3 linked regions of the Struthio camelus genome follow. The protein of the gene in region 1 interacts with the protein of each later gene in a pairwise test. Links are inferred from orthologs where the notes say so. Each region holds a gene or a part of one and is shown on either strand. Other genes may lie near its edges.

The links.
Region 2: the proteins of DAZAP2 (region 1) and phospholipid scramblase 1 interact in binary tests that used the Homo sapiens proteins (3 or more experiments, as listed by UniProt). The two-hybrid records come from large-scale screens. The link is inferred for Struthio camelus from reciprocal best matches to the Homo sapiens genes DAZAP2 and PLSCR1.
Region 3: the proteins of DAZAP2 (region 1) and TNIP3 interact in binary tests that used the Homo sapiens proteins (3 or more experiments, as listed by UniProt). The two-hybrid records come from large-scale screens. The link is inferred for Struthio camelus from reciprocal best matches to the Homo sapiens genes DAZAP2 and TNIP3.

What each region holds. Positions count from the first base shown.
Region 1 is NC_090969.1:2,097,692-2,104,759, forward strand, and holds the start of DAZAP2 (DAZ-associated protein 2), read right to left. Parts: upstream 3,017-7,068; 5' UTR 2,877-3,016; coding exon 2,864-2,876; intron 393-2,863; coding exon 271-392; intron 262-270; exon of another isoform or gene 35-261; intron 1-34. UniProt on the Homo sapiens protein: In unstressed cells, promotes SIAH1-mediated polyubiquitination and degradation of the serine/threonine-protein kinase HIPK2, probably by acting as a loading factor that potentiates complex formation between HIPK2 and ubiquitin ligase SIAH1.
Region 2 is NC_090950.1:16,852,193-16,859,792, forward strand, and holds the start of phospholipid scramblase 1, read right to left. Parts: upstream 3,015-7,600; 5' UTR 2,876-3,014; exon of another isoform or gene 2,507-2,875; intron 2,418-2,506; exon of another isoform or gene 530-2,417; intron 56-529; 5' UTR 7-55; intron 1-6. UniProt on the Homo sapiens protein: Catalyzes calcium-induced ATP-independent rapid bidirectional and non-specific movement of phospholipids (lipid scrambling or lipid flip-flop) between the inner and outer leaflet of the plasma membrane resulting in collapse of the phospholipid asymmetry which leads to phosphatidylserine externalization on the cell surface.
Region 3 is NC_090945.1:19,789,598-19,796,861, forward strand, and holds the start of TNIP3 (TNFAIP3-interacting protein 3), read left to right. Parts: upstream 1-4,250; 5' UTR 4,251-4,353; intron 4,354-7,264. Other genes in the region: QRFPR (pyroglutamylated RF-amide peptide receptor), read left to right, coding at 126-223, 1,566-1,969. UniProt on the Homo sapiens protein: Binds to zinc finger protein TNFAIP3 and inhibits NF-kappa-B activation induced by tumor necrosis factor, Toll-like receptor 4 (TLR4), interleukin-1 and 12-O-tetradecanoylphorbol-13-acetate.

The sequences.
Region 1 (7,068 bases):
GACAAGTTAACTTAGATGTATTTTAAATCTACAGGTTGGCTAAATTTGTCATCTTAACTCAAGGGGAAGCTGAACAGTGTTTGTCGCTTCAAGTGGATGATTCGGGTCTCATGCGAGAGACTGTGGGGACCGACTGCTGCCCAGCGATACGAACAGCAAACAAATCTTCCAGGCTAAGAAAATCCCTGCAGCTAAAAACCTCCTGGAAGAGTTTTCTCTTTTGGAGGGGCCCCAGAATAAAATAAACCTTAGGAGAAGGATCCTGCGTACCTCAGAATAAGCAGGAGGTGCGTCCGTGTATGGCGGCGGCTGAGGAAGGGCCATAGTCTGTGGGTACACGGGAGGATTGCCCGGAGACTGGACCGGGTAGGACGGCTGGGTGGGATATTGTCCTGCAAGGAAGAAAAGAATTCAGCCAGAGTCAGAAAACGCTCCGCGAAGCTGGGCAGGAAACTGCTGAGTTTGCGGAAAGCCCCTCTTTTCAATTCTCACGTGAGCAGAGTAACGGATCTAGGAGCGTCTGCACACAATGAATTAGAGGCGTTTCAGTCGGGGCCTAATAGCCAAACGGAGAGTGAAAATCCTTTCCAGGAATCAGGCTCCCGAAAAGGGCAGGAAGCCTGGCGAAGGGAGTCAACCCAACGGCGTCGTCCCCGGTCGCCGCTCGCGCTCGGACTCGCGAACTCTCCAGTCGACTCGCAGCCTCAGATTTGGGGCGATGCGGGAACGACACCGCCCCGAGATCGGGTTTCTCTTTGAAGCTCCTAGCGCGTCGCCACCAGCGAGGCTTCCAGGGAGCATCTCTTGGCGATCTTAACGTTTTATAACGCAAGACCCGTCCCTCCGTCTGCCTCCCATCCCGAGAAACAAGTGCTGCGTTTGGCTCGTACTGAAGAGAAAGGGTGCAACGCGCTTTGTACTGCCAGCAAAACAAACCAGATCTGACGCGGAGACGATACCTGCCACCCCTGGGCCTTTTAAGCTGGAGCAGAACAAAGATCATGTCTCCGTGACATGTCTTTCACCTGCCAACCTAAGCGGTTTCAGAACAGAGTTAATCTTTAAGTGAAGACTGTTAGGGAATTGCATTTAATTGCTCTGTCGCATCCGGAGGTTGCCAACACGGTTCAAAGAGCAACTGGTGCTACGGTCCGAGCTCCGAAGGCGTTCTTCTCCCCAAGCCGGCACAGCGGTTGGGAGCGAAAAAAACAAACAAACAAACAAAAAAGCAAAAAAAAAAAAAACCCCTGTGCGTGCGTTTGGGTGCAGGGAGGGAGGAAGGGGCGAGCGGGGAGCTTTGCCGTGGCACGGTCAGGCCAGGGCCGAAGCGCGGCCCTGCGGACATCTCGGCTCCCTCGCAGGAGCGGAGACTTGGAAGGCGCCTCGGGAGCGTGAGTCAGGTTGGGCCGGAGCGCTTAGCAGCGCCCTTTCGCCGCCGCGTCCTGCGGGAGCCGGCCGGGGGGGGGGTCCCGCGGGTGCCCCCCCACCCCGGGGGGGGTCCCGCTCCCTATGCTGTCCCCCGAGGGTGAGGGGTCACCCCTTTGCATGGTAGGTGGGGGGGGGGTCTCCCCTACCCCAGTGGGTTCCCCCCCAGGGGGAGCCCCCCATCACCAGAATGATCCCCCCTGTCACCGGGGGGTCCCCTATATCATTTGGGGGGGGGGTCCCATTCCTGCATCCCCTAAACCCAATGGGGGCCTCTTACCTCATCCGGGGGTCCCTTATGTCATCCAGGGGATCCTGCTACACCAGCTCCCCCTACATCATTGCAGGGTCCCCTAGGTCACCCAGGGGGTCCCCCTGCTCCAGCCCCCTGCCCCCAACGGGGTCATCATCAGGAGGACTTTATGTCACCCAGGGGGTCCCCCTGCCCCCAATGGGGCCCCTTACATCATCATAGGTTCCCCTATGTCACTCAGGGGGTCCCCCTGCTCCAGGCCCCCCCTCCCCAATGGGGTCACCTTACATCATTAAGAGGTCCCTATGTCATCCAGGGGGTCCCCCTGCCCCCAATAGGGTCACCTTACATCATTGGGGGTCCCCTATGTCACCCAGGGGGGTCCCCTTATATCATTGAGGGTCCCCCTATGCCACCTAGGGGGTCCCCCTGCCCCCAGTGGGGTCCCCTTAAATCATCAGAGGCCCCTATGTCATCCAGGGGGTCCCCCTGCCCCCAATAGGGTCACCTTACATCATCGGGGGTCCCCTCTGTCACCCAGGGGGTCCCCCTGCCCCCAGTGGGTCCTCTTACATCATCGGGGGTCCCCTCTGTCACCTCGGGGGTCCCTCTGCTCCAGTTCCACATCAACATATAATGGGGTCTCTCTGACGTCATCCGGGGGGGGTCCCCCACTCCAGCTCCCCCCGACGCCTAATGGGGTCCCCCTGACGTCATCCGGGGGGGATCGCCGCTACGTCATCGGGGGGGGTCCCCCTACCGCAGCTCCCCCCTCCCACGTGACCGGGGCGGGGGGAGGGGGGACTCCGCTCCCTACGCACACGTCACCCGCGGGGGGCGGGGTCCCGCCTCGCCCCGCCCCGCCCGAGGCGCGCGGCAGCCACAGGGTTAAGGGCCGGGCCGAGGCGCGCGGCGCCATGGCGACCCGCGCGCGCGCCCACCCCTCGCTCCCATTGGCCGAGCGGCGCCCGCGCAGCCCCGGCCCGGCCGCGGCGTCACGCGCTGCGGCGCGGCCCTTAAAGGCGCCGCGCCCCGGAGCGGGCCGGGGCGGGGGGGGCGGGGGGAGGGCGAGGACCTGCCGGGAGTCGAGTCGATGCCCGGGGGGGGGGGGGGGAAGGTGGGCGCGTCGCGGCGGGGCCCCCGCGTCCGGGCGGGGGGCGGGGCCTCGCGCTGCCGGGGCCTTGCCTTTGCTGTTCATGGCGGCGGCGGCGGCGGCGGCGGGGGGAGGCCGGGGCGGCGCTGGCGGTGGCGGCGGCGGTGGCGGCGGCGGCTCCCGCTCTGCCCGCTCTGCCGCGCGCTTCCTCCTTGTTGTCACTGCGGCGCTGAGGGAGGGGGCAGGGCCCGCGCGGGGGGAGGGAGGGAAGGGGGCGGGGCCGGGGGGGAGGCGGGGGCGGGCGCTAGCGCCGCGCTGCGCCTCTGCGTCATCACGCACGAGGGGCGGGGCCTGTGCTCTTAAAGGGGCCGTCGGCTTCGGGGCGAGGGGGCGGTGCTCGGCGGAGCACCGCCCCCTGGGCGGGGGGTGGCGCCCCTAAAAGCAGTCGGCCTGAGTGGGGCCTGGAGAGAGGGAGAAGGCCCCAGGCAGGGTCTAAGAGCAGGGGCCTGGGGCCTGAGTGGCCTATAAGGGGCTAAGAGCAGTTGGGGGGGGGGGGGCAGGTAGGGCCTAGAGTAGTAGGGGGGCCCCAAATAGGGGTTGGGGGGGGAGAGAGGCCTCTAACTAGGTCCTAAAAGCATGGGGGGGGGGCAGCCAGGCCCCATAGGTGAGGGGAGAGCCTACACAGGGCCTAGCAGGGAGGGAGAGGTTCCCTAGGCAGGGCCCAGAGTAGTTTTGGGGTCCTCAGTTCAGGCCCCAGGGCAAAGGGGGGGGCCCTAAACAGGGCCTAGTATGGAGCCAGGTGGGGCCTAAAGTAGTTTTGGTGCCCCCTGAAGAGGACCTGGGGGATAGGGGACCCTGAATCAAGAGCTAGTAGGGAGGGGTATCCCCAGGCAGGCCCAAGGGTTGGGAGGGGGAGCACCCTAAGAAGGGCCTCATGTACAGGGAGGGGTCTCCAAGCAGGGCCTAGAGTAGTTGTGAGGTCCCCAAGCAGGCCCTGAGGGAAGGGGGACTCCAAAGCAGGGCCTAGCAAGGAGGGAGGGATCCCCAGGTAGGGCCTAGAGTAATGGTGGGGGTCTCAGGCAGGGTCTGGGGGTGGGAGGGGGGGGTCCCTAAGCAGGGTGTGGGGGTGAGGGAGGTCCCTTTGCAGGGCCTAGGGGCACTGAGGGGTCCCTGGCAGGACCCAGCCTGGCCCAGCTGCCTGCGCTGTCCAGCAAGAGCCTTCGCAGGGCTGGGGTGGCACCGAGGAAACGGAGGGGGAAGAGCCCCTGGCGCTCTCCCTGCTTCCTCTGGGATTAGACGCAACTCAAGAAGCCACCTTCGAGTTCATGCATAAAAGATCAATGGAAATGGTTGGTAACCTCCAAATATTGTTAAGCTTAATTAAGCCTTTAAGGACTGTGTGAAGCATCAGTGGGCAGAGCTGCTCGTTAGCACAGTGAGGGCTTTGTTGGTTACTGCAACCTGAGCTCCAGGTTATGTTAGTTCTTCTAAACCGTATGCTTGGGGCTGTTGTTAAAGACCCCAAGTCCTTCCTCAGACCCCATTTTCTGCTTCCCTGTGGCAGTGAGCCCACAGCTGCCCCAGAGACCTTCCTTTCGGACGGCAGCATCCTGCAATGGGACCCATCGGCGTTGGTGTGCCCTCCCCCAGCGCGTGGGGAGGGCACAGAGCGCCTCTTGCCTGCGTTAAAGAACAGGCTCCTTCCTGGAGAGACTGTAATGTGCCCTTCTCGCCATGAACGTAGCCAAAACGTTGCTAAGAAGTTGAAGGTAAAGATGCAGGAGGAAGAGTGCGTTTCTTGGGCTTCGGCCCTGCTGCTCCCCTTCATCCAGCAATAGCACAGCAGTACATTTATGGAAATAACAGGTCTTTGGTTCAAGCACCCTCTTGCCTTGAAATTAGGCCCACTTTTGCAGAAGTGGGCAGTTCCCACCCCCTTGGTGCGTTTGCCCTGAGCACCTGTCAGCTGAATCAGCGCTTGTGATCTAACCTTAAGAGACTTCCCCAATTGTAGCCTGTCCTTTAAGGACTTTGGTATGAGCTTAGGGTCTAAATACTGTTATAAAAATCTGTTGCAGATTGCTCGATAGGGTTTGGATCATGCTGTCATCGTGGGACTTCAGACATAACAGGAGCAAAAGTAAAGCTCTTCAGCGAGGTATGGATCAGCTGCTATGTACAGACCTGTTGTCACGATCCCCTGCCCAAGATCCACCAGCAGAAGGTGCAGTCACAAGTCTGGAGCTGTGTATGGAGAAGGTATGATGCAATTCCCTAGTAGTTTCTATGTGTAAAGTCTTCCTTCTTGGAAATGAGTTTAAAAAAATCCATATGGATTGCAATAAAAGGAGCCCAAAAAAAAAAAGAAAACCAACCCCCCTTTCTTTCCTGATTTTTTGCTAAACTTTCTATCTGCATTTTGGTCAGAGTTTGAGGGCAGAACCTTCTTTATCAAGCTCATTTTCAGGCATCTCAATCAACAATATCATTGTTCTCTTCCTGTTTAAGTGAACATCTCATGAATAATGTACCGGCTGCCTGATGAATATGCACAATGGCTGGTGTGCCTGGGAGGGCTTCATAAATGATTCATGCCCAGAAAATGTTCTTCACCTTGCAACTGTACGGGAACTGTAAAAAAATATTTACCCTTTAAAGTGGGAGAGATGGCCTGAAACCTGCCCAGGGAAATGCTGAGTGAGGTGGGCTGGAGTTAAGCACAGCAAAAGCAAGGGAGAGCACCTCCAAGCAGTGAAAGAAGCTGCATCCAGGAAGGTGATTTCCGAGCTCTGATTTCCCCCTCTACAACCCAGTCCTGGAAAGCCCCAGAGCTTGCTGAAATCACTCAGAAACGAGGCTGTTCAGCAGCTCCCGAGTTCAGGCCTTATTTATTCTAACAAATACATGACTACTTCTGCTCTGCTGACATCCCTATACAGAGAGCTTCCTTGCACAGGAGAAGTGAAAATGCTTTGGGAGGTGCAAAGGGCAAGCATACACTTTCCATTCAGAAGGGCCAGGCTCTTCAGAAGGCACCTACCTTCAAATGCCTTGGGATTGTTTTTATGTGTATTTTTATCACTGATTACCTTGTTTAAGGGCCTCTTGGGCCTCCAAGAGGAAAACTCCAGTTACCATCAAAAGCTCTGGAGGAAGAAAAAAAAAAACCAGCTCATGGTGTCTTGAGCTGTGCGGTCCCAAAATGGAAACCTGTGAAAGTTGAGGCAGCTTCTGGATGCTTGGCCGTGTGCCAGCGGGCTTTGCTTCCCACGCCGGGCAGTTCTGAAAGGCAAAGGGACTGTCTGCAAAGAGCCGGGTGTCGCCTTGGCACTATGCAGGCATCATGCAAAACAGATGAAGGCATAAATGGTCCCAGTCTGCCTTTTGGGTGAGCAAAGGCCCACTCTGGAAGTCCTTATTTACCCGGCGGGAGGTTATTTAACCCCGATGGAGAGCAGAACTGGCTTGGGTAATACCTATGATTTGCCACTTTAAGAACATGTGAAAAGTCAGCTGAGGATGCTGCTGGCCTCACAAGCAGGTACCTGTTTGTGAACTTTGCTCAGGTGAGCAATCAGAGGTAACAGGTTGTTTAAGGCAGTGAGCACCCTGCAGGTGTAGGCCTGTAACTAATTACCTAAAAATAATGACTAAACAATTGAGAATTACTTCATGATATCTTCCACCTAGGCAACATTGTGCCCTTCCTTTCACCACCAATGAAGTTCAGGGGGTTCTGTCCCCCTTGGCTTTACGTTGGGTGAAATTTGGTCCCAGTAACAAAGTGACATAAGGAAGGCCTGAAAATCCCATGGGAATTTTAGAGCCTATTTACATCTTCCGGGGAGAAGAAGAAGTCCAAGGCCAGATCTAGCATGGTGCTGGAGAAGCTGCATTAAGTCCCCTCTGTGACTGCTAAAAGCATGTGCTTGAGCTCAGATTCAGCACAGTTTGTGAGCAACTGGAGTCACTTTGCTGCATGGAAGCCAAAATAAAGTCTGGCTTGCTTTTTCCTGCACTTTCAGTCACTCTTGGAACATCTGGAATAAGCTGGTTCATGGAATATTTGTTCCTTGTAGGACTGGAAACCATTCTGTAGCAAATTAGATGTGCCAGAAACCACATGGTCAGGTGCAAACCCTTCCCTGACCCATTACTGAATCTGATTAGAGCAGCCAAGTCAGCAAAAGAAGTGTGGACAAGAAAGCTGCAATATTAATTTGGTCACCTACCAAGAGCTCTCATCGACAGAGCAAGCTCTGGAACAAAGGACGCATTCTTACAGTCAGCGTTTTAG
Region 2 (7,600 bases), on another chromosome or scaffold:
GCTTACCAGAACGCCAGTGAAATATGAAGAATTACAGCTGCACCCTTCGATAAACCTGGGAAAGTAGAGACAGAAATAAATCATATGATTTATTTAAGAGAAAGGCCCAGAATCATCATCTTTCTCCCACAAAGACACACAGACTTCTCTGTGGAATCTGGTTTAGAAACTATTGTGATACACAGCCCAGAAGAGGAACAAAGCTTTTACAAAGTTCGGCTCCCATGTTATCAGAAAAGTCGCTGAAGAGTTAAGATTACTTTTAATAAAAATATTTGCTGCTTCTGCTTGCTGCTTTCACCTTGACTCCTTTTGCTGCCTCCAATTCAGTTGCCAAGAGTAACAAACAATACCAGCAACACTCTGCTCTTCTCGCAGATAATCAATAAAGCTTGTGAAACAATAAAATATTCTGAAGAACCAAAAGGAGGAGGAATGAAAGCTCATTTTTTTCCAGTCCTTGTATTATGCAATATCTTCCTCGGGCAGGCTATTACAGGAGGGGAAATTCCCATCTGCTGAAACTTACGGTCAAGAAAACATAGGCAGACAACAGGCAGACTGGTTGCTTTAGAAATGTGCTGGTTTCAGCTGCCTCAGCGACACAAAGCCATGCAAGACCAATAATTTGAAGTCTACAGTTTCATCTAGCAGACAGTTTAGTGAAAAGAGACTTTACAAACAGGTCGGTCTTCCTAGTTCTAGCAGCAATTTTTCAATAAACATGGGGAACACCTGCCCCCAGCTGAAGTGCGCGTGGGCAGGCAAGGAGGGTGGAGAGAGCAGAGCCTCGCTGACGCTGACCCACTAACGGGCTGCTTAAAGAGCTGCTGCAGGTGCTTCACTGCAGGGCTACGCATGAGAGCAGATACCAGGAAAATCCTAAATGCTCTGTTCAGTTTTGCCCTTTTCTGACCGAAATTCACACAATAATTCATAGCTCTGAGTCCACTATCTTGAAGAGAACATAGGCAAGAGAAATATATCCTCTTTTCCCTGGAGGAGGGGACATAGCAGGCAAAAGCAGAAGTGATTTTGCTAGCAAGAAGGAAGCATTGAGGGCTCTGGGGACAATTGATGCAAAGCAGCTGTCTGTTAACTACAATTATGAAATATGGCCTCTGAATCTTGTGAGGCCTCCCTGCTTCCTCCGCTACGCCTACAAAATGAGATTGAGAAGGGCAGCAACTTCCAGCGTAAGCTGCAAAGCTAACTGTCATGAAAAACACCAATTTAACCCTGCAGTGTGACTTCCGACTTCAATTACTGCAGTGCAGAAAGGAAACTAAAGAAACCACACATACGCAGCCCTCCAACTGTCAAGGACAGCGGTTCAGCTGCAGGTCAGCAAGCTGTCGTCAATCCAAGACCCACATGCTTCATATGCTGTGCTACTTACAGGAGAAAGAAACTAAAATCAAGAAGTCTCATTTCCTCATATCCCTCTACGCGTTAGGTATCCAGGGCTAGTATTGCCATTTCTTCCTCCTCATCCATAAGAGTTCCTAAACTCTTCTCTTTGCTCTCAGAATCTGCACTCATTTCCATAGACAGCCTAAAACCTTTCACTTAACACTAGCATAGCTGGCCAGTTCCTTATCTTCCTGGCCTGGCAGAATTGTTATTCAAAGGGGCAACACAGAAGTAACCATTAGATGGATGCAGATGCCCAGAGCACGGTGCTCTTCCCCATCCAGTGGGGGTTGAGCCTAGGCACCTAAAAACAGCCAAAAACTTTTGGAAAGGAAGCGGAGGAAATACCATCTCTAAAGGAAATCATAACAGAACAGTTCCAGTTTACAGAATAGTAAGGAAATAACGTTCCTAGACTGTCCCCCCTTCCCCCTGTTTTTTTTTTCCTTTCTTTTTAAGGAATGGCAGACTCTTTCTCAGTTGTTTTCTCATTTTCAGAGCTGCATGACACTGCTTCAGTTTCTAGATCTCTCTTATCCTGTTGCATGTCAGTAGATATGTGGTAATTAGCAGAGAAATTAGGTATGTCTTCATGAAGTTAACTACAGAGCTTCCACTCCGTTATCAAAAAAAGCACATTGGTTTCATTTATGACGAACAGTTACCGTTCTCATTCAAGTCACTAAAACAGTACCACGAGCATATGAACGTAAGCTGCACAAGTACAAACGTCACGCTCAGTCATTTAAATACCAACACAGGGCCATTCCCGAGAAGGTTCACGACTGGGAGAACACACTTACAGAGCCAAATAGCTGTAAGGCACTTCTTTTCGTCACACCCATCACATTAGCCATTGGATTTTATTTAACCTTGACTGCTTGTGAAACAACATCTTAGAAATCAAGTTAATCTAACAAAACAGATATTTGTTTGTTAAATTTAACAAACAGTTTCCAAGAAGGAACAAAACGAACTATAAGTTGATATAAAGTTATTTTGTTCTGGTGCAGCGAGGTACCCCCTCCCCTCACAAAGACATCTCCCCCAAAACCTGGGGGTCACAACACCCGAGAGCAGGGAAAAAACCCACCCGGCAGCAGATCACGCAGAGGCCGGGGCACGCAGGCTGCCAGCGGCGAGGGCCGATCTCGGAGGGGGCTGGCAGGCGCCCGGCGCAACAGCCGTACCGCAGTCCGACTCGCAGCGCAGCCTGGCACGGCGCTCGCTAGGCAAGCCTCCGCATAAGCTCCTCTTTGCGAACCACAGTGTTATTTTGACAGCTCTGGCAAGTAACCGTTGCTAAGGAGACGCGTTTTTAGCTTCACTCTCAGTCACCGACTAGCAAACATCAAACCCCTTTTGCAGCCTACCTAACCATTAAGCAGTGCTGGGAGGAAACGAGGAGAGACAACTCAGAGGACCGCCTAGAAGGCGACACACACGGTACACAGATCCTTACGTTCTCAGCCAAAATACCCGTCCCCGAGGAAGAGGAGCCGCTCTCCCGCCGCCCTCACCCCGAGCGAGCCGCCACGCCGCACCAACCCCGGCTCGAGCCGCCCAGCGCCGCGGCCCGGTCCGGCCCTAAGAGGCAGCCGCGGCGGGCGGGGGGGCCGGGCGGTGCCGGGCCGCCCCGAGCCGCCCCGAGGGGGCCGCCCCGCCGAGCCGCGGCAGCGGGCGGGGAGCGGCCCGTTCTCCCCCTGCCAGTATGAAATCATATTTACGAGCGACTTTCGACCGAGCACTGCCCGCAGATTTCCGCCTAGTCCTCCTCCGTCATCTCCCCCCGCTGCAAACAGCTCCGACATCCCTGGCGGCACTGGGAGCCCCACGAAGAGACGCCGTCGCCTCATTCAGCTGCCGTCTTCGACTGTCTCATGGCAGCGGGACATAGGGTCAAGCATTTAAGTGATGAGCAGTGTTTCTTGCAAGGTTTTCTTGCGGTTTAAGGTGGTAACGTCACTGCTAACTCCGTATAACTTCTAAAATTCAGATCACTACGGTATTTCGTGGAGGAGGTATGGGGAGTCAAACTTGCCCATGTAAATATTAACTTTTATATGTACTATCAAATGATTATTCACCATAAAGGATAATCCTAAGCAAATATCTCAGCCTTCCTATAATCTTTACACTATCACCTTCTCCTGTGTGAAAAGCAGCTTCCCGTACAATCTAAACATTCGCTAACAACACCTGGTTTCTTGAAAACACGTGACAATAGAAGAAAAAACCTTTGATTGGTACTTCCGCTGATGCCCTGTTTCTGAAAGATTTTCTGAAAACAGGTCAGCTGAGGAAATGATTGCCTTATTTTTTATTTTGATGTCTGATACTACATAATATTTCTTTTTAATATAAGGGTATTAACTGGAGAAATAAAGATGCAGTACAACGGATTCATATTCTTAAAGAAACACTGTCTTTAAGTCTGAAAAGGTCCAAACTTTCTAAAAGTTTCTATAACTTCTAAAGCTGCTTTATTTTGAAAACATCTGCCTCTAAAAGGCTACCTTGGGAGTGAGTCTTACAAAAAGGGACAATTTCATGTTGCTATGCAGACATACGTGATGTGAGAACTGGAATTAGGACTGGAGACACCTATTCATTTCTTCACTTTTTTGATAATAAATTTAACCTTACAACCTCAAATCCAAGAAGGACCCACAACATGTCTGCCTTCCAAACTGTGTACAAATACAGTCTGCAGGTGGTCCCAAATTTACTGCACTTTCCTGCTTCCACATAGGCTCTACAGAGCTACTCACCATCCTTAATCTATAATAGAGTGGACCGATATAGTGATGAAGGGAACAGGGAGCCCTGAGAAGAAAGTCAGCAAAGACTCTCAGTAGGCCTCTCACCTGTGCAACTAGGGTTTTTGTCCCAGGAGAGGATTGCTCTGCAACCGTCACACACTGCTATGTTTTGCACTCTACCACCTAAAAGCAAAGGCTCATCAAGGTTTCTGTTAAGTAAAATTTACCATACTTTTCAAGACGACAGGCATAAAGTTACATTTCACAGAAGTACCTCATTTGTTGGTAGATTTGTTGTTGGATCATGGGAAATGCTAAACCCTTCCCTTACAGCTCAGTTTTTTATGAAGAGAGTTACTTTACTAATAAAATATGTTTTGCATTCAAAATATTTTCAGGTTAAAGATTATCAGAGATGCAATCAACATCAACATTACATAGATTAGTGATGAATCTAAAACGGAAATGCCTGATTTTATAAGGGTCATCGTAGACTCATGCAATGCTTATTCCTGATAATCACAAAATGTTCCTGGGTTACAGAGAAAGTAATATAACACTCAAGAGGATTGCCTTGCAGAGAGATTTCTTTAAATGTCACTTTTTAGAATTTATCTTGTATAAAAGCAGGATTCTCTGAAATGAGAATCCTCATTTCAGAGACTAACAAGATATTTTCTTAAATTTTAAATTTAATAGTGAATTCTTCTGCTAGTTTCTTCAATGATTTTGATCAAAAAAAGCTATTAGGCACTTCTGAATTGCTGTTCAAACGCTTAAAAGTCATGCCTTTTATTCTTCAGAACTCTTGGATATTGTTACATGCATTCATTTACCTGTATCAGGTGCAGGTAAAAAACTAAGGAGATACATTATGCAAACCTTATTTTCAGGACAGCAGAATTATAAAATAGAGCAAAGAATAGTTCTGTTCTGTCAATAAGGGTCTAAATATGGCATCTACAGTAGCAAAACACACTTCTGATGTTTCCATCTGCGGGCTGTTGCTATCCCTTTCTTTCATTATCCATTCCCACTACACAAGGCTTAGGACTGCTTTCAGACAAGCTCTATTATCTATGAAGATCATCCTGTCTGATGGATTAGTAGAAACAAAAAAGCGTGATGTTTTCACAAGAAATAAAAAGCCTGCTCCTTCTGTATTAAGGACTAGCTAGCTAATTCTTAAAATACATTGATCAAAATGTCAAGGACTTCATAGAGTGTAGCATGACTCTGAAACATGAAGTATTTCATACCACATTAAATATAAGCCCATCACCTAGGTAGTGCAAAAAATGAAATTATCTTCACCAGATCCCACACCTTTGAATATCTCTGCAGCAAAGGTACTGCCATTCACCTTGGATCACATTGTATCTATATACCTTGAAGTTACAGATGAAGAGAATTCAGGGCTTAAAGGTTCTAGAGCATGAATTAGACACTTACAGTAAGAAAGCAAGCACCAATCAAGACAGCTTCTCCAAGAAAGATGGGGGCACAGTAGCTGTCAGGATTTGACTCTAATAAAATACAGACATAATTAAAAACGCTGGGTATTTTTCAGTAGCTTTAACAATTTGAATATTAACAATTCCAATTAACTAAGGAAAATGAAAGCTATAAAACATTCTTTTAGACTAATAATTTATCCAGTTGAACATCTTTAAACCCCTGTTTTTGCCTTAACGATGAGGTAGACTCATTTGGCATTTAACTGTGCACCATTTCAAGTTTTCTGTTGAGATTTTCAGATGGAAGACATCAATTAGTGTGTCCAACTGCACAGCTCTCAGCATGAAAATTCTTGAAGATCCAGCGTCAATCAGTCTAGGCTTTTCTTTAGGCATTATTACTCAAATATATTCAAAATTCTAAATTGATTCATAGCTATCCCAGATTTGACATTAGATTTGTGCCTACCGGCGTCCAGTCTTTACAAATGTTGTGTAGACAGTGTATGTGGAGGACATTGAGGGGAACATGATCTTAGGTGTCTTCTCTGTCTAAGTGTTCAAATCATTAAGGCCTTGGGTACCTTGGGTACACAAGGCAGGTCAAAATGTTCCGTCAAAGTGGATGAAGGTCACCTAAAGTAATTCAGAGGGGAAAAAAAAATCAATACCCTAAAATTATGGCTACAGTCTCTGTGTCTTGTGATAAGTCAAAATGAAAACCTAATTTGCGGAATCTTTAAAGATAGTGGACAGCGAGAAAAGTAACTGTTGCAAGAACAGCAGCAGCAAAGCTGTGCGAAAGGTCTTTGCACTGGTATCTTTTCTCCTCTAAACTTTCATGAAGAGGAGTAATAAGAATACGTATAAGAACTTAGGGGAAAAAAATTGTTTGCCTGCTGCAAAATACATTCTTTGCTATACATTTGTGTATTTTGATTTCATAACTGTTTCAAAGCCAGTAATATCTGAAAAACGAGACACTACTCAATTGCTCATTGTGTCCCAGAAATGAAAACAGAAACAGTAGAGAGAGATCAACAAAGTCCCAAATTTACAAATACAGATATGTTTTCTTGAAAAATTTATAATCAGCTAGAAGGAACACTTCTTCTATAACACTTCTATTCTCTAAACATAACCTTGTAACTGTTTGCAATTCTTTAAATTTAAAGTAGACTACTGAGTATTTTATCTGTCCTTCAAAAAATTGAACCATTTGATACCAAGAATTTGGCTAACTCTTCTGAGGAGGCCTTGCAGATAGCTGAGAGAGATGGTTCCAGCAAAAAAGAAAAAAAAAAGTGAAAAGAGGTATAGAAATACTATCTCTAGAAACTAGCAATATAAAATCACAGTCAGAGCAAAAGGGGCAACTGGGAGCAAAGAAATTAAGAAATAAAGGTAAATAAGTAGGTCATATCTGAGTTATCAGTAGTATGAAGGAAAGAAAAAGAAACTTTAAAAGGAGGCACTTTATGGGATGGTGAGAAGAGACTATATGGTCAGGAACTGCCCCCCCACAAGCCAATCTGCTGTTGAAACCATCATTTTGTGAAACCACATTATCAAGTATTAAACAGTAGCTCTTATGAAAATGCCCTACTGAAACGTAGATAAACCTGACGTGTCATTGCTCTCCACTTTGCAACATACCTTTGGCTGTCCTTCAGCGTGCGGTACTACAGCGTGCCCCGCTGACTAGCTAGTACATTGTGCTATCCATAATTTAGGATAAACTTTGGGATCCTGCGATCCATTTAAATTCCTCAAATATAAAAATGAAGGTGGTATGTAAACATTCACTAGCATCGTCTTTTATCACAAATTTAAGAAAACGTACTACCTGTTTTCAGTATCCTAACCCAGGAGGGCTGTTGAGCACGAGAGGGGGGCAGCCAGCGCCTAATGGGACTCCTGACAGGTAGCCCTGAAAGACAAAATTACCTTGTCTTAAGGAAAGAACAA
Region 3 (7,264 bases), on another chromosome or scaffold:
TTCTCTCTCAGGGGGTTGTTTGTGTCTGCATCCATTACAACATACTTACAGATTTAACTTAATGAAAGTTATGTTAACTTATGTAACTTAATGATTCAGTATAAAATGTCTTGATGCAATTTCAGGAAGAAGAAGCGAGCAATTGTTATGATGGTGACAGTGGTGTTTCTCTTTGCAGTCTGCTGGGCCCCTTTCCATGTGATTCATATGATGATAGAATACAGTGAGTATCTGCCATGTGTCATGCAATAAAGTCTTTTTTAGGTTTTTTTGCAATAATGGAACCACAGATTGTGAAATGCTAGTGCTGCTGCAGCATTCAGCTATAATGTACCTTCTGCTAGCAAAGGTTAACGTTGTGCTTATAAATCCTGGATCACTGTCTTGTAATAGAGATACATAATCAACAGCAGATGAATTACTCTGAAGTCTATGAGTGACAGACAGATCTACAGTGCTCACAGAAAACGTAAGTACATTTCAAAAACCTCTTATTAGCTGTAGTGTTTGAGAGCGTAATATATCTGAGAAATCCTTGTATCAGCCCCGTCTTCTCTTCCCTGCTGTAGCACTAAAGATCTGTGTCTTGCTATAAACTGTGCTAGACTTTGTGGAGGGGGTGGGGAGAGGGCACTGTGTCTCCCTCCTCCTGTGTAGGTGCAGTGATAGCAGGTGGGACTGTGCAGTTTGCCGTGTGTAGGAACACTGAATTATTCAGTACCAGTTGTGCTCTACTTGCCAAACGCAACAGTTAATCTCTTTTCTCTCTGTTGCGGAAAAGGGCATAGCAGATAAGTCAGTAGTGCTACAGCCAGTCAGCTGAAGCAAGTGGTGTTTGTGCCTGGGCAGAGCCAGAAATGCTTAAGCTGTAACTTTCAAAAATTATCTGGATTGCCCCCTATTGAGATTGCCCTGAACTGTTCTGTGTAACACTTCACTCTCTTTCCACTGTTAATTTCAGGGATTGTTTCCACTGCTACAAGGCCTTGTTTAACTTGCCATATAAACCCTTGTGCAGTGTCTTCCAAAGCTGCTTAGCCAAGTATTTGAATTCAAGAAATTCAGAGAATTCTGTGATATCAAGTAATTAAAATGTGAGCTATCACCAGGAAGATGCATTTTTACTCTATGAACTCGTCTGTATCAGCACAAAGAAAGAAGCTGCATATGGTCAGTGAAAAGACGGGGATTAGTGTTATCGTGGTAGAGTACTTGAAAATTTCTCATGAATGTGAGACGCAGAGTCAGAGCCTACACTCAGCAGACTGGAAGCTTTCTGTCACTTGGCCATTGGACAAGTTGTTTATTTGTTCATTTGTTTTTTTGCTCACGAGTTGTGTCCTTCAGACTACACTGTTCTTCCCTACATATATACAAAAGCAGGGCTATGTGGTAGGTCTTGATCTTTGCTGGCTAGTGAAATCCTATTGCTAAAATTACCAAGAAAGCACCTTGCTGGAGGTTACTAGACAAAAGCTTCTAATGCCAGATTGGGTGTAAATGGGCTTAGTAATGGGTATTTATACCATTCTATACCTACAGCATATTTCCTTTTTCATTTCCAGGTGACTTTGAAAAGGAGTATGATGATGTGACAGTCAAAATGATCTTTGCTATTGTCCAAATTATAGGATTTTTCAATTCTATTTGCAACCCTATTGTGTATGCTTTTATGAATGAAAACTTCAAGAAAAATTTTTTGTCTGCCATCTGCTTCTGCGTTGTCAAAGAAAACACATCACCAGCCAGGCAACTCGGGAACTTGGGGATTACTATGAGGCAGCAAAAGGCAAGTGCTTCTCTAAGAGATCCCACTGACTCAGATGAGGCCAGGAGGGAGGCATTCAGCGACGGCAACATAGAAGTCAAGTTCTGTGATCAGCCAGCTTCAAAAAGGAATTTGAAAAGGCACCTTACCTTATTCAGCTCTGACCTTACTGTGCATTCTGCGTTAAGAAGTGGACAGTAACATCACAAAGATTTTTAGAATGGAAAAAGCACTCCTTGTATTTGATAACTTTAAACAAACCATTTTAAATATTTTTTTCTACATTGTGTGCAAGGAGGGGAAAAATATTCTGTGGATTATGATAATGTCTGAATAATGGTTGAGAAACTAATTACTTTATAGATGAGGAATAAAAGTTTGGAAAACAGTATTACTGCATGATTTCCAGAAAAATATTTTTCTTCCTGAGGTAACATAGGACTTTTTTGCCCCCTGCTCTAGGTCAACCAAACAACTGCCGCTTGCTTTGTTTACTTTTTGTAAACCATGTTGAACCATACACAGTTGAAAGTAGATACACAGTTGCCAGAAGATATAAACTATGGAAAATATGCATGCTTCCTTTGGACAGCTTGGGAATCTCACCTGGGTCTGACATTGTGAGATCTACTATCTGCACGCCGAGGACAGAGAAACTTCAGATCTGAGTTTAAGAAAAATACAAACTGAGATGCAGTTCTATTTTGCAAAGTATATGAAGGAGCTAGCCAGAATTTGACTTTGAAGAGATGAAGATGTTTACATTGCATGTTTGCTCAGATTTTCTAAGCAGAAAGCATATTTGAAATTAATGTGTGCATAATTAATGTGCTATTTTTACAGGTTAATTCTCTGGGTACAAATACAAATGCAAGTGTACTGCCCTGTAAACAGCATTGTTCCTGCTGAAAAACGTAGAAGTTGAGAGTGCTATACAAATCGAGTGTCTGCAGATGCTAGAGGTGTGTTCTGTAGAGTAAGAAATGAATTTTACCTGAGGTTGTGTTTTAGATACATGGCTTATGGGTTAAATTAGTATTGTTGCCTTGTTCTGGAGGAATATAAGGACTAGCCCCAGAGCCTGATGGACTCGACAGACAACTTTCAATTTAGGACATGGTGTTTTGATCGGGCCCTTTGCTGCTGTCAAGCACAGATTTTTTTTTTCTTTTTTTTTTCCCCTCTGTTGTCTCTCCCTCACCTTCGAAGTAGATAAATCATTGTCTAAAAACAGGGCCAGTGTTCTATTATTTTTAGGCTTTCCAGCAAATTACAAGGCTGAAATCATATGAATTCTGAAAATTGTCAGCGAGCCAAACTGAAACTGTCAAAGATCCTTACAAATATAGGCCTGAGGAAAAAATGTGATCTAGAATGTTATATTGTGATCTGATCGTACAAATGGGGCTCTGAAATAATTTGAGATTCCAGCTGAGATTAGGCTGGATCCTTTAAGAACACGTTGTGATCGTTGGTGCTCTTTTCTGTCATCCCTTATTTCACCTCAGGGACCTTGATGCTCCCTTGGCAGTAACTTTTGAGATGCTTTCACATTGTCACTTCCAAAACTGTAAATGAAAATCTAGTTTGTTATGCTTGCATAAATTAGAAGTAATCTGGTCCTTCTGTAATGTTCATAAATTTCCATTGCATTAGGTATTCTGATGCTGATTTGTGATATATTCTTTATTTTAAATATATATTATTATTTATACTTTATCTCATATACTCTGACACAATGACAGGTTAAGATTCCTGACTTGTCTTGACAGCCAGAAATTGAGAGCACTTTAGTATATGTATTAGATAAAAACACCAATTTCAAAGAGGTATGTTTGGGTAAAATGTCATGAGTGAAATCAGGTTCTGCCTCAGACACTCAGGCAAACGTGCCTCTTTGCATTACCTTGATACTGCTGGTAAGCAACAGCAACAGTATTTGCCTGTGATTATAACTGTGGCTTCCTTCAGGGTCCAGCTCTTCGTTTCAGTCTTTCATCTTTCCCGAAAGAGGTCATCTAGTAAAATTTCTGCCATGTAGATTAGAGACTCAAACTGGCTTATTATCATCCTTTTCCTCAGTTGATGCAAAGTTTTCAGGCTCCTGATGAGAAGTATGTGTTTTAACAGATTCTGTAACTGAAAATCACTTTATTATGTTAAGCTCTTTATTTTTTTATTTGTACTGGTGATTTCAGTGACGGGTTTGAACAGCAAAGGTGACAGTTACTTTGTAAAACTTATGGGTGTTCTATGTCTTTGGGTTTTTTGTTTGTTTCTTCTGTTGTCTCATAAAATGTAACGTCAACAAGTGATTATTGTAGTATTTTTCATTAAAACTCCATTTTGATATTTATGGTGCTGTTTTAGACTGGAAGTGCATTCTATAAACGTCAATATTTCAGTATATTTTTATTTTAAAGATCAGCTTATTTGCACCTTTTTTTTTTTTTTTAGTGATTAAGTTTCAGTTCTGTTTCAGGTACCAGCTTCTACTGTCATCCTTACAGATGTGCTGTAGAGGACTTTTTACAGAAGAAGGTAATAGAGATCAAAAGTTCCAATATCTTGGTAGGAGAGAATTGGTAAGTGTTTCAGCAAAGGCAGAGTGATTAGATTTAGATTAAATATAAGCCAAACTACTTCAGACAATTGTCTTACATCTTAATAAGCTATTATCTTCAGTACATTTTTGACACAGTAGTTCTCTCAAAGCCAGAAAATCTTGTGAGAAATTCCAGCTGCAAGGAATAGAAGAACCTTTATTGACTTAAGCAGAATTTAGATTTTTGCCTATATGTGCATTTGTGTAGGTTTGTGTTTGGGGGAGTGTGTGTTTTATCAAAGCCTCAGCTTTGATTTAACTAACAAAACAACCTGTTGTATTGAATCAGGCCAATTTTCTGTCCAGACTGGTAGTCTGTCTCTTGCAGTGTCTCATGTGTTTCCAAGTGTTTGGCTGTTACTGAGTACTTCAAATCAGTGAAAGCTAACACTGCTATGGAAGGAACAGCCCTGCTCTCCTCCCCAGCTTGCCTGCTTCCTCCTCTCTTACACTGGTAGAATTGCATGATGAAGCAGATCAGAAGACTTTCTGGGTAAAGGCTAACCTGTGAACAGAAAAGATTAATTTTAACCAATCTATTTTCCCTAAGCTGAGAGTGTTTAATAAAACTATTGTGTTTTTTGAAAAAATGCTTCCCCCAAAATGTTTTTTTCTGATCTGCATTAGCTGCAGATCACTTAAATCATGAAGCAGTCTAAAGGACTGTAATTTCTTTGTGGTCCAAATTGAAGAGAAACTTTTCATATTCTCCGCTGTATAAGGTGCCTTACGGCTTATCAGCTTTAAAGCTACAATGAGATAATACCAGGAACTGGCATGTAAATGAAGATACAAGTCTGAAAGAACACATTCAGCTGAACAGAGACTCTAGAAATATGAGTGGATTGGGAAAAAGCATAGGACATGTGGTATTGCTATGGCTGATTCAGTTGCATTCAGACTGTATTGACATCATGAAGAACTGTGGGTAGAAGGAAATTAACCCTTCCAGTGACTGTGTCTGTAACAGGGTAACTGTTTAAAAAATTCTCTCCAAGAGAGGGAGGGTAAATATAATGTGAAATTACTTCCCAGCAGAAGCAACTCTTTTGCTCTTAACTTTTCTTTTTTGGGGGGAGTGGGAGGGAACAACGCAACATTAATTTCAGTGGCCATCAGATGGCTTTATTTGTGGGTATGTTTTTAACCTATAGAATTATGTTCTGGGCTGTAATACTTTGACAAATAGACAGGGAACTATGCTTTTATTTAAGACGCTTGATTCTATTATGGGCTAACACAGTGCTGTGCAGGCATAAAAAGTTTGAATCTGAATATAACGAACACCTGAATAGAGAGTTTGTAGTCCCTCGTAGCATTAGCAAGTTCTTCGTAAGACATTTGTGCTACTGAAAGAGGGGGGAACGTCTAGGTACGGATTAGATGTCCTTTTAAAGTTTCACGGAAGAGGAACTGAACGTGGTGCTTGCTTGTGTATTGTTTGGATGTGTAGTTAGCACTTGTGTGGAATAACAAACAAATTAAGTGCATAGTACATGCGCAGGAGAATGTGAGATCTATTTTAGAGGGGCTGATTAAATGTAGATGAAGGAGAGCCATAGCTTGAATTCTTTTTATTCGGGTTGCTAGATATCTGGACTCCACCATGCGTTGTTCGGTCACTAGTAGGCAAAGTTGTGTTTGTCAGCTATCAGGTAATTCTAACAGAGGAATCTGAGGACTGGATCGGGTGTTGAGCTGAGTTGTTTTTGGCTGGGCAAAGCTGTGTGAGTCTCATCCCTGAAGCAGACTCTGATATGCTAGGTTTCTGGCATGGAGCAAGAAACACTGTCTGGGATACTCGGTGAGCCAGCACTACTTAGAGACAGTGACAACTGCAGATCCTGGAAGAAGCAGCCAACAGCTGTTACCTCAAGTACAGCTTGTGGAGAATAGAAGGAAGGACAATATACTGTTTATACTTGTAGCTAGTCTTATTAGTATCTTTTTAAAATTGTTTACCTGATGCTTTACAAGCCGGTGGAGAGGTGTATTCCTTTTCTGGAAGACTTTGCAGTATGTGGACCTAATTCTACAAAGATATGCATGGAACCTTTTTCATACCTGCTAGCTTCTTTGGAACTGTACACCCATACAATGGTTCATCTCCAGGGCAATAGTTCAGGTAAAGGAAATCATAAAAAGCTGATGGGGAGGATTTATGTAACGCTATTTGGGAAGGAGGATCAAGTTGGCAGTAAGGCAGGGATTACTTATTTTTCAGCAGGATACCTCATGTAGTTAAGATGATGAAGGCAAAGAAAACCAAGTCCTCCAGTTTATTATTCCTTCTGGGTTTGCTCAAAGTTTAGTCAGATAAGTTTTGAATAGAGAAGGCTGTTTAATATTAAACTGTTGTATTGAATTCTGGTATTGGAGCTGCATTTAAAAATGGAGTAGGGGGCAGTAGGGTTTGAGGCATATGGGAGAAGAGCAAGAAGGAGAGGGCCTTTTAAGGGTTTCAGTTTCCTAGGGACCCACCCTGATGATGTGTAGAATCATGAGTTAGTTCTTAGTTGACTTCATCAAGATAATATTGTGGCTTTCTTCTGGTTGCTTTCTTTTGGGCAGAGCCACAGTTTTACGTTTAATACTTAAGTATAAAAAGAAATATTATCAGGTTTTGAATAACAGCTGATTCAATGCTTTGAACTTCATGAGTATCAGCTTCTTTGTTTAACAACAACAACAACAACCCCCCCCCCACAGTTTAGTACTTACCTTCCATTAAAGAGGGTGTTGCATCCTGAGGGCAGAGTCTGCACACTTGGAGATATGGATTATATAAGTCATGGCTGTACATCTTAACATATACTTTAATTAAGACAAAACAAAACATCCCAATTAGTATATTGGCTGTTAGGTTCTATTTGTGCTAAGTACCTACATGA